3 linked regions of the Coturnix japonica genome follow. The protein of the gene in region 1 interacts with the protein of each later gene in a pairwise test. Links are inferred from orthologs where the notes say so. Each region holds a gene or a part of one and is shown on either strand. Other genes may lie near its edges.

Evidence for each region. The genes of interacting proteins can lie anywhere in the genome.
Region 2: the proteins of PRKAB2 (region 1) and BEN domain-containing protein 5-like interact in binary tests that used the Homo sapiens proteins (3 or more experiments, as listed by UniProt). The link is inferred for Coturnix japonica from reciprocal best matches to the Homo sapiens genes PRKAB2 and BEND5.
Region 3: the proteins of PRKAB2 (region 1) and SPRY2 interact in binary tests that used the Homo sapiens proteins (3 or more experiments, as listed by UniProt). The link is inferred for Coturnix japonica from reciprocal best matches to the Homo sapiens genes PRKAB2 and SPRY2.

Annotation. Positions count from the first base shown.
Region 1 is NC_029523.1:4,168,125-4,172,233, reverse strand, and holds the start of PRKAB2 (5'-AMP-activated protein kinase subunit beta-2), read left to right. Parts: upstream 1-1,309; 5' UTR 1,310-1,384; intron 1,385-1,891; exon of another isoform or gene 1,892-2,530; 5' UTR 2,531-2,546; coding exon 2,547-2,708; intron 2,709-3,034; coding exon 3,035-3,201; intron 3,202-4,105; coding exon 4,106-4,109. Other genes in the region: dimethylaniline monooxygenase [N-oxide-forming] 5-like, read left to right, coding at 1-170, 501-573, 648-1,011. UniProt on the Homo sapiens protein: Non-catalytic subunit of AMP-activated protein kinase (AMPK), an energy sensor protein kinase that plays a key role in regulating cellular energy metabolism.
Region 2 is NC_029523.1:20,985,405-20,989,694, reverse strand, and holds the start of BEN domain-containing protein 5-like, read left to right. Parts: upstream 1-1,490; 5' UTR 1,491-1,536; coding exon 1,537-1,579; intron 1,580-4,290. UniProt on the Homo sapiens protein: Acts as a transcriptional repressor.
Region 3 is NC_029516.1:136,861,073-136,865,372, forward strand, and holds the start of SPRY2 (protein sprouty homolog 2), read left to right. Parts: upstream 1-1,500; 5' UTR 1,501-2,253; intron 2,254-2,488; 5' UTR 2,489-2,564; intron 2,565-2,683; exon of another isoform or gene 2,684-2,779; intron 2,780-3,868; exon of another isoform or gene 3,869-4,300.

The sequences.
Region 1 (4,109 bases):
CCTTGAGGACTATGTGAAGGTGGTGGAGAATCAGGTCCCCCTCTACAAGTTTATGTTCCCAGTTGACCTGGAGAAGCCGACGCTGGCTTTCATTGGCTACATCCAGCCTCTGGGAGCCATCATGCCCATCTCGGAGATGCAGAGCCGCTGGGCCACCCGTGTCTTTAAGGGTAAGCGAGGCGAGCCGGGAATGCACTTCTCTGGGTATGGCAAGGCCAAATTATTCAGTTGCTGGCATGTGCTCCTCCTTTTATCATCCTTCTATGAAGGGATATAAAACATCACTGCATTTTGCAACAAGTGTTGCACTTTATTTCATCACATACAGCTGGTAATGGATCTCCTCACCTGCAAACCATTTTCTCTCTCTTATTTCTTTGCCCATGCCTCTCTCTTGCCCCATTTGGTGGCCCAAAGGCTTTTCCTGTGGCACAGCAGCCACGCTGGGCGCAGAGGGACACAACTGCTGATAGCACAGCTCTCTGCTTCTCCTTCTGTAGGTCTGCACAAGCTGCCCCCAACCAGCACCATGTTGGCTGACATCACACAAGCCAAGGAGAAAATAGCCAAGCGGTAAGAACCCTGCGGGGCACCAACCTGCCACCACCTCCTCGATGAGCACACACAGAGCCTGTCCCTGCCCACAGGTACGTGGCCAGCCGGCGGCACACCATCCAGGTGGATTACATCCCCTACATGGACGAGCTCGCCTGCCAGCTGGGCGTCAAGCCCAACGTGCCGCTGCTTTTCCTCACTGACCCCAGGCTGGCGCTGGAGGTGCTGCTGGGGCCCTGCACGCCCTACCAGTACCGCCTGCATGGCCCCGGCGCATGGCAGGGTGCGCGGGAGGCCATCCTGACTCAGCAGCAGCGCGTGGAGCACCCGCTGCGGGGCAGGGCCGGGCACGGCCGCTCTGTGCCGCCCTGCAGCTCGGTGCCACACAGCTTCAAGGTCCTCTTCAGCCTCGGACTCATCGTGGCCACGCTCATCTACGTCTCGCTGTCCCCATAGCCCCTAGTGAAGAGGGCTTTGGCCATCCCCTAACTCTGCCTTGGGTTTCGGTGTCGCTGGGAGGGGCACGGGGCACGTTTTCCTCATGAGAAAGGCAATAAAGCTCGTCCTTGTTCTCCATGAAGGCTCAGGCTCTGGGCTGCGCTCATTAACGCCCGCACTGCACAACGCAAACTACTCGCACCAGGCCGCGCTCCCACAGCAAAGATGGCCGCTCTCCCGGAAGCCACACCGCCCTCAAACAAAATGGCTGCCCGGTACCATAGAGAGCAGCGCGGGGGCGGGACAGAGCGCCCCGCAGAGGCTGGCGGTGGAGGCGGCCGCCATTTTGATCGGAGGCGGAGAGCGGGGCGGCGGCGGCGGCGGCGGGCAGGTGGGGCTGCGAGCGGGGCTGCCATGGGGGGCTGCGCTGCCCCCGTGTGCTGTGGGGCCGGGTTGGGTGCTGGGTGTCACGGCGGGGCGGGGGGCCCGGAGCGGACAGGAGGCGGCAGGGGGTGGGGCTGTCAGGGCGGCGGTGCGGGGGGTGACGCTGTGGGCGGTGGTGCGGGTGTCGGTGCCGTTGGTACCGTAACGCCGCGCCCGGTGACACCGCTATGGCCGGCACTGTGCCGGGCGGTGCTGCAGCGGCCCTGCACATCTCATCGTTGCCGTGGGGTGAGCCGTGGGCTCGCTGCCCTCTGAGGGCTTAAGGAATACTCGAGTAATTGCCCCGTAATGGTTTAAAGCCAGGCTTTGGCTGGCGGCCTCACCCGGCCCTCCGCACATAGCTTGATGTTCTAAGCAAATCCGCAGCTGTCACAACGCACCCAGTGAATCAAGGCTGGCTCCCTGCAGAACACAGCCGGCTGCCCCAGCGATGGGCTCAGCCCATGTATCGCCCGGCGCTGGGCAGACACGCAGCCCTGGGGTCGGCTATGAGCGCAGCCTGCTCAGCAGCACAGCCTGCACACACCGTGTTGTTACTCCTTGCCCTGGCCGCACTCCAGCCTGGCCGATTCCACTCCTGCTACTTGCAGCACTGTTGCTGTGCCAGCCGTGAAGCCGTGCTGCTCTGCCCGCAGGCTCACCCACACTCGTTGGGAGCTGTTAACAGCTGCTACTTTCACTCTCCGGCTGTTTTCCTGCTGGCTGTAGCGTTGTGTTCTGTGCAGGCTGACTGTGGGGTTGTGAAAGAGGCTCTGTTAGTGCCGGGAGACAATCTGCCACTCAAGGGTGGCTTTATTTCTCTCATCAGCCCTTCTACTTGTGTAGGATGTGGTCTAACTCACTTTTGTTTTAGGGTATAACAATTACCGGCTTAACTATCACGATGGCTCATAAGGGTATGCCTATAATTAGTTCAGCCTGTCTCGCTTGTTAAATTCCCCTTCGGCTCCCAAACTTGGCATCGGGGAAGAACTTTGGGCCTTTTTTAGGATTGCTGTCACTCTGTGCTGGCAAAAGGCAGCGGGAAGCAGCACCCTGCTCCCTGCTGGAGCCCACGGACATAGGCAACACTGCCTTCTTCCCCCTCTCACAGCGGCTGCTGAGCTGTCATGGGAAACACCACCAGCGAGCGAGTGTCCGGTGAGCGCCATGGCTCCAAGTCCCACCGCTCCGACGGCTCCGGCGCTGCCCATCCCACAAAGGAGCACCCACACAAGATCATGGTGGGCAGCACAGATGACCCCAGTGTTTTCAGCTCCCACGACTCCAAGGTAGGGGGCTGGCTGCTGCCTTTGTTGTCCTCACGTCGGGTGCTGGGTGGTGTCCCATAGGGGGCTGTGCTGGGCTGAGGCTGCTTTCAAGGAGAGGATTTTTGGTTGGGAGCAGCCCTCTGTTTAATTCAAGCTAAATACAGGCAGGGTGGCAGTGTGCCGGGGTACAGCTTTCATAGCAGGAACCACAAGCTGAGCTGCAACACAGGAGAAACATCTCCTGGGATGGATGGGTGGAGCTGCCTGCCCAGCCTGAGGTTACTATTGTCTGCAATGTGCAAATGGAGGTGGAGGGAAATGAAACGGCTCTGGTGTTCTCTGCTCAGATTCCAGGGGACAAGGAGTTTGTTTCATGGCAGCCTGACCTGGAGGAGTCAGTGAAGCCATCCCAGCAGGCTCGGCCCACTGTCATCCGCTGGGCTGATGGAGGCAAAGAGGTCTTCATCTCTGGATCCTTCAACAACTGGAGCACCAAGATCCCGCTCATCAAGAGGTAGCTATACCCCTTGGCTCACCCCGTGTTCTCCTCCATCAGTCGCAGGGAGCGTTTTTCTCAGTGCCATTTGCTGTTCCCTTTGCCCAACCTGGCTTCTCACAGTTCATCATGCCCGAGCTCGAGGTGTGAGCACAAATATGCAGCCAGCATCCTGCCTGGGGGCTGCTGCAGTGGTAGGGAGAAACTGTGAAATGGGACAGGACAGGATGGGCCTCCTTGCTTTCCCAATTACATGCCACACAGCAGCCATCCTGGCAGCAGGGCCCTGCCCAGGTGTGCTGCAGCTCTCTGAAGCTTGGTGGCCCTTCTCCTTGCCTGCTTGTGTTGCTGCTAGAGGGAGTTGTTTGGTTGTCCCTCACCTGTCCTCCTTCCATAGCAGTGTCCTCGTTGTTCTGCAGTACACCTGTGTTTTCTGTGGAAACACTATGTAGGACTGGGCATAATCCCAGCAAATACCTGCCACGGGATTATCTCGACTGCAGACTTCACAGGCACTTCATGCTTTCATCCTGCAGTACCAGCACAGGTTTAGATTCGTTGTTCACTCGCCCTGTCCAGTGTGTCTTGCACTTGCCATCATGTGATCCCACACGATGTGTGGGGCAGGGCTGCAAGCTGAGCTCCTGTTTGCCTTGTGTCCTGATTGGAACAGATGATCTTAGTGTTTTTTTCCAACCCTAATGAGTCTACGATTCTATGGGCCCTGAGGGATCTGAATCATCCTGGGGCTCTGGGCACTCGCACCTGCTCTGGCCATGCCTTGAGTGATGAGCAATCCTAACCCAGCACATGGGTGTTTGGGTCGAGGGGGCAGGCAGTGCATGACAAAGTGCTCTTCTCTGGGACAGCATCCAAAGCATCACTGCAGTAATGGTGTTGTACATCTGTTCTCTCTGCACAGCCAC
Region 2 (4,290 bases), about 17 Mb from region 1:
AGGCCTGGGAAATTTTCTGGCCCAGGGAAATGGTGAGAATGGAGAACATGGGGTGGGGTACTCACTGGTTCATTGTCAGCAGCGAGACAAACCAGCCTTTGCAGTATCCTAGTTACCACCTGTAGTTTATGAAGGCTGAAGAAATATAGACATTATTTTTTCCAGAGCTTGAATCTAGATGTCCCTCGATGGCTTTTGACTGCTGGCACAAAGCAAGGAACAATATCCATGTTCCAACAGGACTTCTAACCCCATCACAAAGCCCCCTTGGTGCACTATTTTAGACAGATATTTCAGTCACTGGCACAGGAATGTGGCCGAGTTTGAAAACTTGTGACCGTGGATGTGGTATAGAAATATGTCGAGAATGAAGAGAAAAATAACCAGAGCAGTATGAACTGAAGAAAGAATCAACAAGGCTGCAGAAGCCAGGGAAAAACACAATGAAGAGGAGGTAACAGACCCTACAGAAAAATCCAGCTGTGTAGAACCATGTGAGTCTTGTTATGAGGTGTTGCACTGGAGGAGAAAATGCACATAGCAGATAGGAAGACAGAGAGTAAAGTAATATTGAAATAACACCACTTTAGGTGGAGAAAGATGCAGTTTCACTTGCCTTGATTTTCAGGCTTGGAGCATTTCACTAACAGGTCACTGGTCTCTGTGGCAACATTAATTTATTAGCTGTAAGCAAGCAAACACATAAATGTTTATGTAGTCATAAACAGTCTTGCCCATTTCCACTGCTCAGCATTGCACACACACTTCCCATTTCAGTTGGCCGCTCAGTTTGGTGTGTGCTCACCCCTCGTGTCTGTCTGTGTATGTAAATACAAGTGACTCAAGGATCTGTGCTTGCACTTGTGACACCGCCTGTCCCGTGCTTAACCTCGCAGAGGACATCACACAGAATCACAGAATTGTAGGACATGTGATGAAGGTTTTGTCTCAAGCTCGTGTTAGTGAGACACAGTCAGACCCAGCACCCCGTGTCTTGGGGGAAACACACACATAATTAACTTCTCTGCACCGCAGAACTCACTGCTGTATTTGCCACATGGTGGGTGTCACCCAGCGGGCCTGCAGCGCACGTAGGAGCCCTCCCGTCCCCAAGAAGCCTGAGTGTATTTGCCATATGGTCGCACTCACCTGCTAGGGCGAGAGACAGACGGGCAACACACACACTCATAATGAAGCCCCCCACTGGGCTGCCCTAAAAAATGAGGGGGAAAAAGCGGCTCCCTAATAACAGCTCCGTAATGTGTGGGCTTTGCGGTAGGGCGGGACGGTAGCGCACCTGCAACCCAGCGATGGCAGCTCAGCCATTGCCGCTCCAGGGCTGGCTTTTCGAGTGCGGGGGGCAGTGACAGCGCAGCATCCCTCCACCTCTTCTCCCCTCCCTTCCGTTCCCGTCTCTCCACGGCGGCTGCGCTCGGGCTGAGGGGGAGCGCGGGGCTCCCCCGGCGGTGACGTGCGTTGCCATGGCGAAGCTCAGGCAGCGTCTCGCTCCGTGGTGGGGGGGGGGGGGCTGAGGGGATGACAACAAATATGGCGGAGAGGAGCAGGACGGCAGAGACGGGTCAGTGCAGCCGCAGGCGCCTGGGCGGGGGGAGGGGGGAAGAGATCCCCGTCTCCAGGGGATGAAGGAGAGGGGCTTCAAGCAGGGAGGAAGCCTTACTTCCAGCAGCCTTAAAGCTGGAGTGCGGGTAACGCAGCTCATCTCGCCGGGGAAAGGGAGGGAAGCTCTGAGGTGCAGAGGGGGCCCGGAGCAGGGAGAGAGCCCACAGCACGGGGAGCTGAGAGGAGGGGAGAATCCCATTCCAGGGGCGACGTGGCCGTGGGGCAGGGAAAAAGGGCCGCGGGTTGGCTCAGGACCCGGCGGGAACAGCTCTGGCTGCGGGGCTTTGAGGGGCAGCCAGCGCCGCGAGAGGGGACGGAGCGGTGTGGTGAGGAGCAGAGCAAAGACTGTGCCCTCACACGAGAAACCTTCCCCTGCCTTACCTAGAGTGTAAAATAAATAATACGCGAAGGCTGAATGTTGGAACTGAAGCCGCTCCGCCGTGCTGCTGGCTCCGGGCTGACCTGCAGGTGCTGCCTGCCCTGTCTTTGGGTCTGTAAGGAGCGCTGCACTTATGGCATGTGAGCCGAGGGGTGAAGTGGGATTGTCTCATTATGCCCCTGCTGGCAATAGCTCTGGCTGTGTGTGTGAAGATAAGTTTGTGGATGGAACTCAAGTTCTGGGCTTCTTCAGGTGCGGTATGGATTGTCTAGGTAGAGGGGTCTCTCCTATTGTAACAGAACACAATGAAGGCCTTTACCACCTCACAAAAGCTCCCAAACTAACTTAGGAAAATCTATCAACATTGTGAGGATGAAACAAAGGTGATGACGGCTTTTCTGAGTGTTTAATACCCCCACAGCATCATACACGTGAATTTCCTAGATTCCTGGACCAAAAGCTCATTTTCATTGCCTGCTGTGCTGCTGTGCATGTGCTTTTATCCCCCAGAAGTGGCTCCATGTGTATGGAAGATGCACTATCCATAGAACTGACATTGGATTTTTGGACCACTCGAGGTGAAATAAAGTGAAAAATATGTGAAATACTCTTGTCCTCTGAAAAACAATACTACAAAGGCTGTGTCTGAATAGGTTGGCCTAAGGTTCTTGAACTCCCAGTCTGTTTCAAGCCTACTCTTTACGAAGCCCTGAAACAGCATTGAGAAGTTTCTTATACATTAAGCTTTCCATGGAGCAGGTGATTTGTTTCATCTGCTGTACAACACTGTACTAAACACAGCTGATCTGCTTTGACTGCGCCGTGTAATGGAACACATCTCCAGTGGCCGTTTGACTTTGTCAGCTCTTCAGCAAACTTCATCCACCTATGCCTATGTGCTTGCCAGGAATGTTCTATATAACATGGTAGAACTTGCTCACTATTTCTGGATTATTGCATAAAGTTACTTTTACATTGAGTTTCCTGCTATATTCTTTAAATCTGTATCTTTACAATATTTGGTTTCTGTTTTTAACTCTGTCATGCCCATTCCAACTGGGTAATCCATCATTTTCTTGTACATGCACCCGTTCCATGAGCTTGTGGTGAAATCAAGTTTTGTTGCATGTTCTTGATACATGTTCATCTCAGTTTTTCAGTGCCTCTCTGACTGTTTTGAAGCTCTAATTTGCAGCCCCCTCCCTGTCTGGATTACTGGCTGAGTAACTTCAATGCAAAAAGCTACAAAAATAGGAAAAAAGTCCTGACAATTTAATGGGACTTGAGGAAACTGAATGAAAGAAAGTAGTGGTCTTGGCCCATTTATTTAGAGAGGGCATAGAAAGTAGGCTCTGGAAGAAGCGTCTGTCTCCCACTGCACTTAGTTTAGGTTTTCAACACTGATGTCATATATTGTAGGTAGGGAATATTCTTGTTCATGTCACATCCTACTTCCTATGTCATCACGCTCTGTCAGATTTGGGCCATTCTTGAGGAGATGTGAGTCCAGCTCTGAGTCCTGCATTTCACACACGTTTAATTTTTTTCTGTGTGGTTGGACTGGATGATCTTTGAAGTCTTTTCCAACCTTGGTGATTCTATGATTCTATGATTCTATGATTCTTTGATTCTATTGTTTGCAGGGAGAACAAAGCTATGAAAGAACAACCTTGTTCAAACTACTTGAGTTGATTTAGCCACTGTGGCTCTGTTGCACTTGCTGTTACATTTTATTTTTTTTTTGGCAAATGTTTCTGTTCCTGAGTCAGAAGACACAAATAATAGCTCTCCTATCTTTTCTTCTTGAAGTATTGTTATTTCTTATTTTCAAACGAGAAAACAGCACTACAGGAACTCTGAAGGTAACTTACCTATGCTTTACGGCAACACAGATCACTCTGTGTTATGGAGTTCATTATATTCTTGTTTGCTTACATGCACCTGAGGTGTTTTCAACCTAAGTTTAGTTTTGAAAGTACGCTGTGTCAAGAGGTTCTGTATATCAATTATACTTTACGGAAAACATACCTTTTGGTCATGTAAGAGTTTGTATTTCAGTTTTATTAGTATTTCCTTATTTGTTTCTCACAGGAAATTAAAAGTTAATTGTTCATACACTGCTCATTGTAGTTATTGTTTCTTTATAAAATCTTTCAATATTTTAATTCCTTCCTTCCTTCCTTCCTTCCTTCCTTCCTTCCTTCCTTCCTTCCTTCCTTCCTTCCTTCCTTCCTTCCTTCCTTCCTTCCTTCCTTCATTCCTTGCCTTCCTTTCCTTCCTTCCTTCCTTCC
Region 3 (4,300 bases), on another chromosome or scaffold:
CTGTACTTTAGAACTGGCATTTAAACTTCTGATTTCTCTGTAAAACACAGTATGGTGGATTTTCTAATTTATACACTATTTCTGTGCTTGGTTTATATCCTGAAAAAAAATCAAGCAGGCTTTCCCTCGTCCATAAGCTTCTACATGTTGTCCATTACCTATTTTTGCCTTTACTAAGCTTCACAGTGAAGTGAAATCAACATCATTCTTCTCCCGTTCCTATGCTAACCCGCGCTCATCCCTCCCGGATGAATCCCATGGATTTCCCGGCGCAGCCTGAACGTAGCACACAGTTCTGAGGATGCCCAGGTTCATACTCAGCAAATCCCACTCATCACTGGTGACCCCGTGGATCTACTAGGGCCGCATGAAGGGATGAACGCAGAGCTGTGGTCGTCCCATAGAGAAACTATGAGAAATAACTCTCAGCTTCATAATGTTAGTACATAGTACTACATAGCCTTCTCCGCCCCCTCCTCATCCTCCCACCCCATTTTTATTAACAGTGACCCCTCTCTCAAGCAGCGATGACAGCAGGTGGAGAAGAGGAAGCGCTGCCAACTGCCTCCCAGCATTAAGAAGAGCTCTCAGGGCTTTCGCCCCGAGAATTTGCTCATGTAAATAACGCGCCACATCGCTGCTCGGCACGCCGGGTATATTTTAAGCAGGGCCACACGTGATAGGGGTGTACGAGCGCTCTGTGCATGCCGACGTGGATACGCCGCTGTGCGCGCTTTAAAGACCCGCTGGCGGCGCGGGGTGCCCAGGCCTGACGGCACTGCAGCCCGTGCAGAGATGACCGGCTGCTCCCATATCAAGGGAACCTCTCTCACAAACAGCCATTTCTATCAGCTGCCCGTGGGCCGCGTCCCGTACACGAGTGGGAATCCATTACAATGGAAGTTTCATAAAAGCGAGCGAAATTACAAATGAACGACGCTGAGAAACACCCCCCGGGGGGCTCTTGGAGACCCCGCTGTGCCCCTGCCGCCGCCCGCCCCGCGCTGCCCCGCGGGCCCCGCTCCGCGCCGCCGTGCCGCCTCCTCGCGTTAATCCGCGGCACAATGCCGCGGGCAATAAGCGGCCCTTCCTGCTGCCGGCTGGGGGGGTAGGGAGCAGAGAGTTTAAACTTTTTATTCCATAGAGGGGGATTAAAAAAAAAAAAAACAAAAAAAAAAACAGAAAGAAAGAAAATAAAAAGAAAGGGAAAAAAAAAGAAAACATGGCTGGGGGAGGGGAAGCACCTGGGAATGGGTCTCCCGCTCCCCCCAGGGAAAGCAGCTCCCCTCGACCGCCCTGTAGCCCGATCGCTGCTGGCCCCTGGATAAACACGCGAGCACAAAAGCAGCCCCGAGCGCCGTGTGACCGCGCACGGAGCTGCCTCCTGCGAGAACAGGCTGCGGCCGGGCCCGGAGAGGGGCGCGGGGCTCCGCACGGCGCCGGGGCCCGACGGGAGCGGGGCCGGGGCCGGGAGCGGGGCCGCGATTGTGGTGGAAGCGGCGGTAGCGCTGCCCTTTTGAATGCCTCCCGCAGCTCGGAGTGCTGGCAGGGCGCTGGGAGCGCCAGTGAATGTAGCCCCGCAGAGCCAATGAGCTGGGACCGGATGCGATATATCCTCTGGGACAACAACTGCTCTGTTCCTCCTCAGATCCACATGACGCCATTTACTGCTGCTTTTGCAGAGAGATCACCCTACCTCCTCCGGAAAGAAAAAGAGAGAGAGGGAGAGAGAGAGCGAGCAGAAAAACGCCGAGCCCCTCCAGCTCAGATCTCAAACCTTCCTCCTCCTCCACCTCCTCCAAACACACAACAACAACCACCACCACAAATCCGCTGCGCTCCCCAAACACCCCCCCCACCCCCCCGCTCGCAAACCGCAGAGCCGCCTGCAACACACTCACACACACACACACACACACACACACGCTCGCAGAGGGAGCGAGAAAGCCGAGGGAGAGAGGGAGAGGAGCGTGCGGCGAGCGGCGTTCGGCAGCGCGGCCCCCCCCCCCCCCGCCCGGCTGCTGCTGCTGTTGCTTCCTCGGATGAGTTCGCTGGAAGAAAGCTTTGCCATCGGATTTTAGATCCACTTGATTTTGTTTTCTGTGGCTTTCTCCTTCCTCTCGATCCTTTGCAACGGCAGCAAGAAAAAAAAAAAAAAAAAAAAGGGGAAAAAAAAAAAAAAGAAAGGTGACTCGGTGCTGGCGGTTCGGCCTCCTGTTCATTGAGGGAGAAAAAAAGGAAAGTGTGTGAGAAGTGAGTTCTTTGGAGGAGAACAGAAAACCCACCCAGATCCGGAGAGGTGTTCTGATTATTACTATAGCACATAGGCGCACACACGTTCTTACAGTCGAGCTGGGCAGAGGGGAGGACTGACTTTACTCCGGACTTTTTTTTTTGCAAGCCGATCGTTCTGATTCTCATTTGCAAGTTGGACGAAAGCAGAGTTTGGAAAAGAATTTTTTTTTTTTTTTTTTTTTTTTTGCTTTAGGGCTGGATTTATTTGCAAACCGCAGGAAGAAGAAAATACAACAGAGAGAGGGGTTTGGTGCAGCGCCGCGATCACGGTGAGAGCCTTTTCCTTCTTTGCAAAACAAGCTTTTCAGTAACCCCCGCAACCCCCCCCCCCCCTCTTTTCCCCCTCGTATCCCCCCCCCTCTCCTCCCTCAGCGCTGCTCCAAGAAAACTCGTGGAAATGTTTGAGGCCGATCCTTTTTCCACTCGCACAGGTTCTCCCTCTCCCCCTTTCCCCTCTCCTTCCTTTCCCAGAGAAGAGCCGGAGGTGGGATTTCGGAGCTCTTTTTCTCTCCGGGGAGGGTTTTGCGGGCTGCGCTTTATTTGCGCCTCGTCGCGGTGCTCCGGGGGGCGCGAGGCTGCGCGGGGGCGGAAGGCTGCGCGAACGTACACGCGTGCCCGGGGGGCTGCGGGGAGGCGGGGGCCGCGTATTCCCGGCTGCGGGGAGCCGGGCACGGGCGGTGCTGCCCCGGGGGAGGCGCAGGGAGGGCGCTGCGAGGCCGCCGGTACCCCCGGCCCGGGGGAGCGCCGTGATTGACGCCCGTGTGTGGTGGCGTCGGGAAGATCCGTGCCATTCGGAAGTGAGTGCACGGCTGGTGTGTAAATACATCTGTGCGGCTGCGGGTGCGTGCGTATTTCTCGTGCGGTGAAACTTAATTCGATTCATGAGACGGGGAAACTTCACTCCCAGGTTCTACTTTGCAGAGTGTGTGTGTGGAGGGGAAGAAGGACTTTTTTTGTGGGGGTTTACTGTGTAACAGGCCCCCATCCCCCCACCCCCCTCCCCGATATATATATTTATCTGCTGGTGTTCTCAGCATGTTACTTGTATGTCAGCTTGCCCAACCTTGATGTAAAGTCGCTTTTGCCCTAATCCAGAGTCTGATGGCACACTCTGCTCTTAATGTGGGTTTCAAAGCACTGTGAAAGCAGAGACGGTGACGGGGGTGTTTGCGGGGCGGTGGGGGTGGGGGTACTGCGCGGCTCCGGACACAGCACAGTAAGTCCCGGGCAGGGACCTCTTCCCCCGAGGCCCCCTCCGCGATGCGGGGATTTTCCACACGCAGCACGCAGAAGCCCCTTGAGTTTGCCACTTCCTCGGACGTGCGAAGACGAAAGTTGCCTCCCCCCCACCCCCCCGGCTCGCCCTCCTGCCAATCCCAGCCAGGAGTAGGCAGCGGTCGTGGCACTTGAGCTGTGCGAGAGTGGACTTTGGCTTCTGGAAGTGGGGAACGGTGTTATCGCCCACATGCACACACAGGAAGGCCAAGCGCTGGAAGGGTGCTGGGTCATAGGGAGAGTCGTGCTTTCTCTCAGAGCTTTCGGGCATGGCTGCAAATAAAGGTGCTGGAGGTTTACATCCTGTCCCGTTAGGGTCTGTCAGGGGGAATAAGGAAACATGGCCCGGCTCGGGTTGACAGTGCCTCCTGGGCAGGGGCGGGAGGCTCAAGTTCGGGCAGTTCTCTTCTCTGGCGGCTGAATGAGCGCTCAGGGCAAGGCGAGGGGGGGCAATTTGCCTCCTGCCCGGCTGTCCCGGAGGTTCTGTCTCCAAGCGTCTGCGGGGCGCCGCTCACTGCCCGGCCGGGAAAGGCTTCCTGAGCATCTCCCGGGGGAGGGCAGGGGGGAAGAGTTAAAAGGAAACATGGGTTTGACTTTCCTGATAAGGCGACTGCGGCCGCCCCCTCCCACCTCCCGGCCCGGGGATGTCTCCTGTTAATCTCCAGGTTGTCTGCACTCGCGGGGCCGCCGCCTGAAGCCACGGGGCTCCGCGTCCCACCTGCTGCGCTCC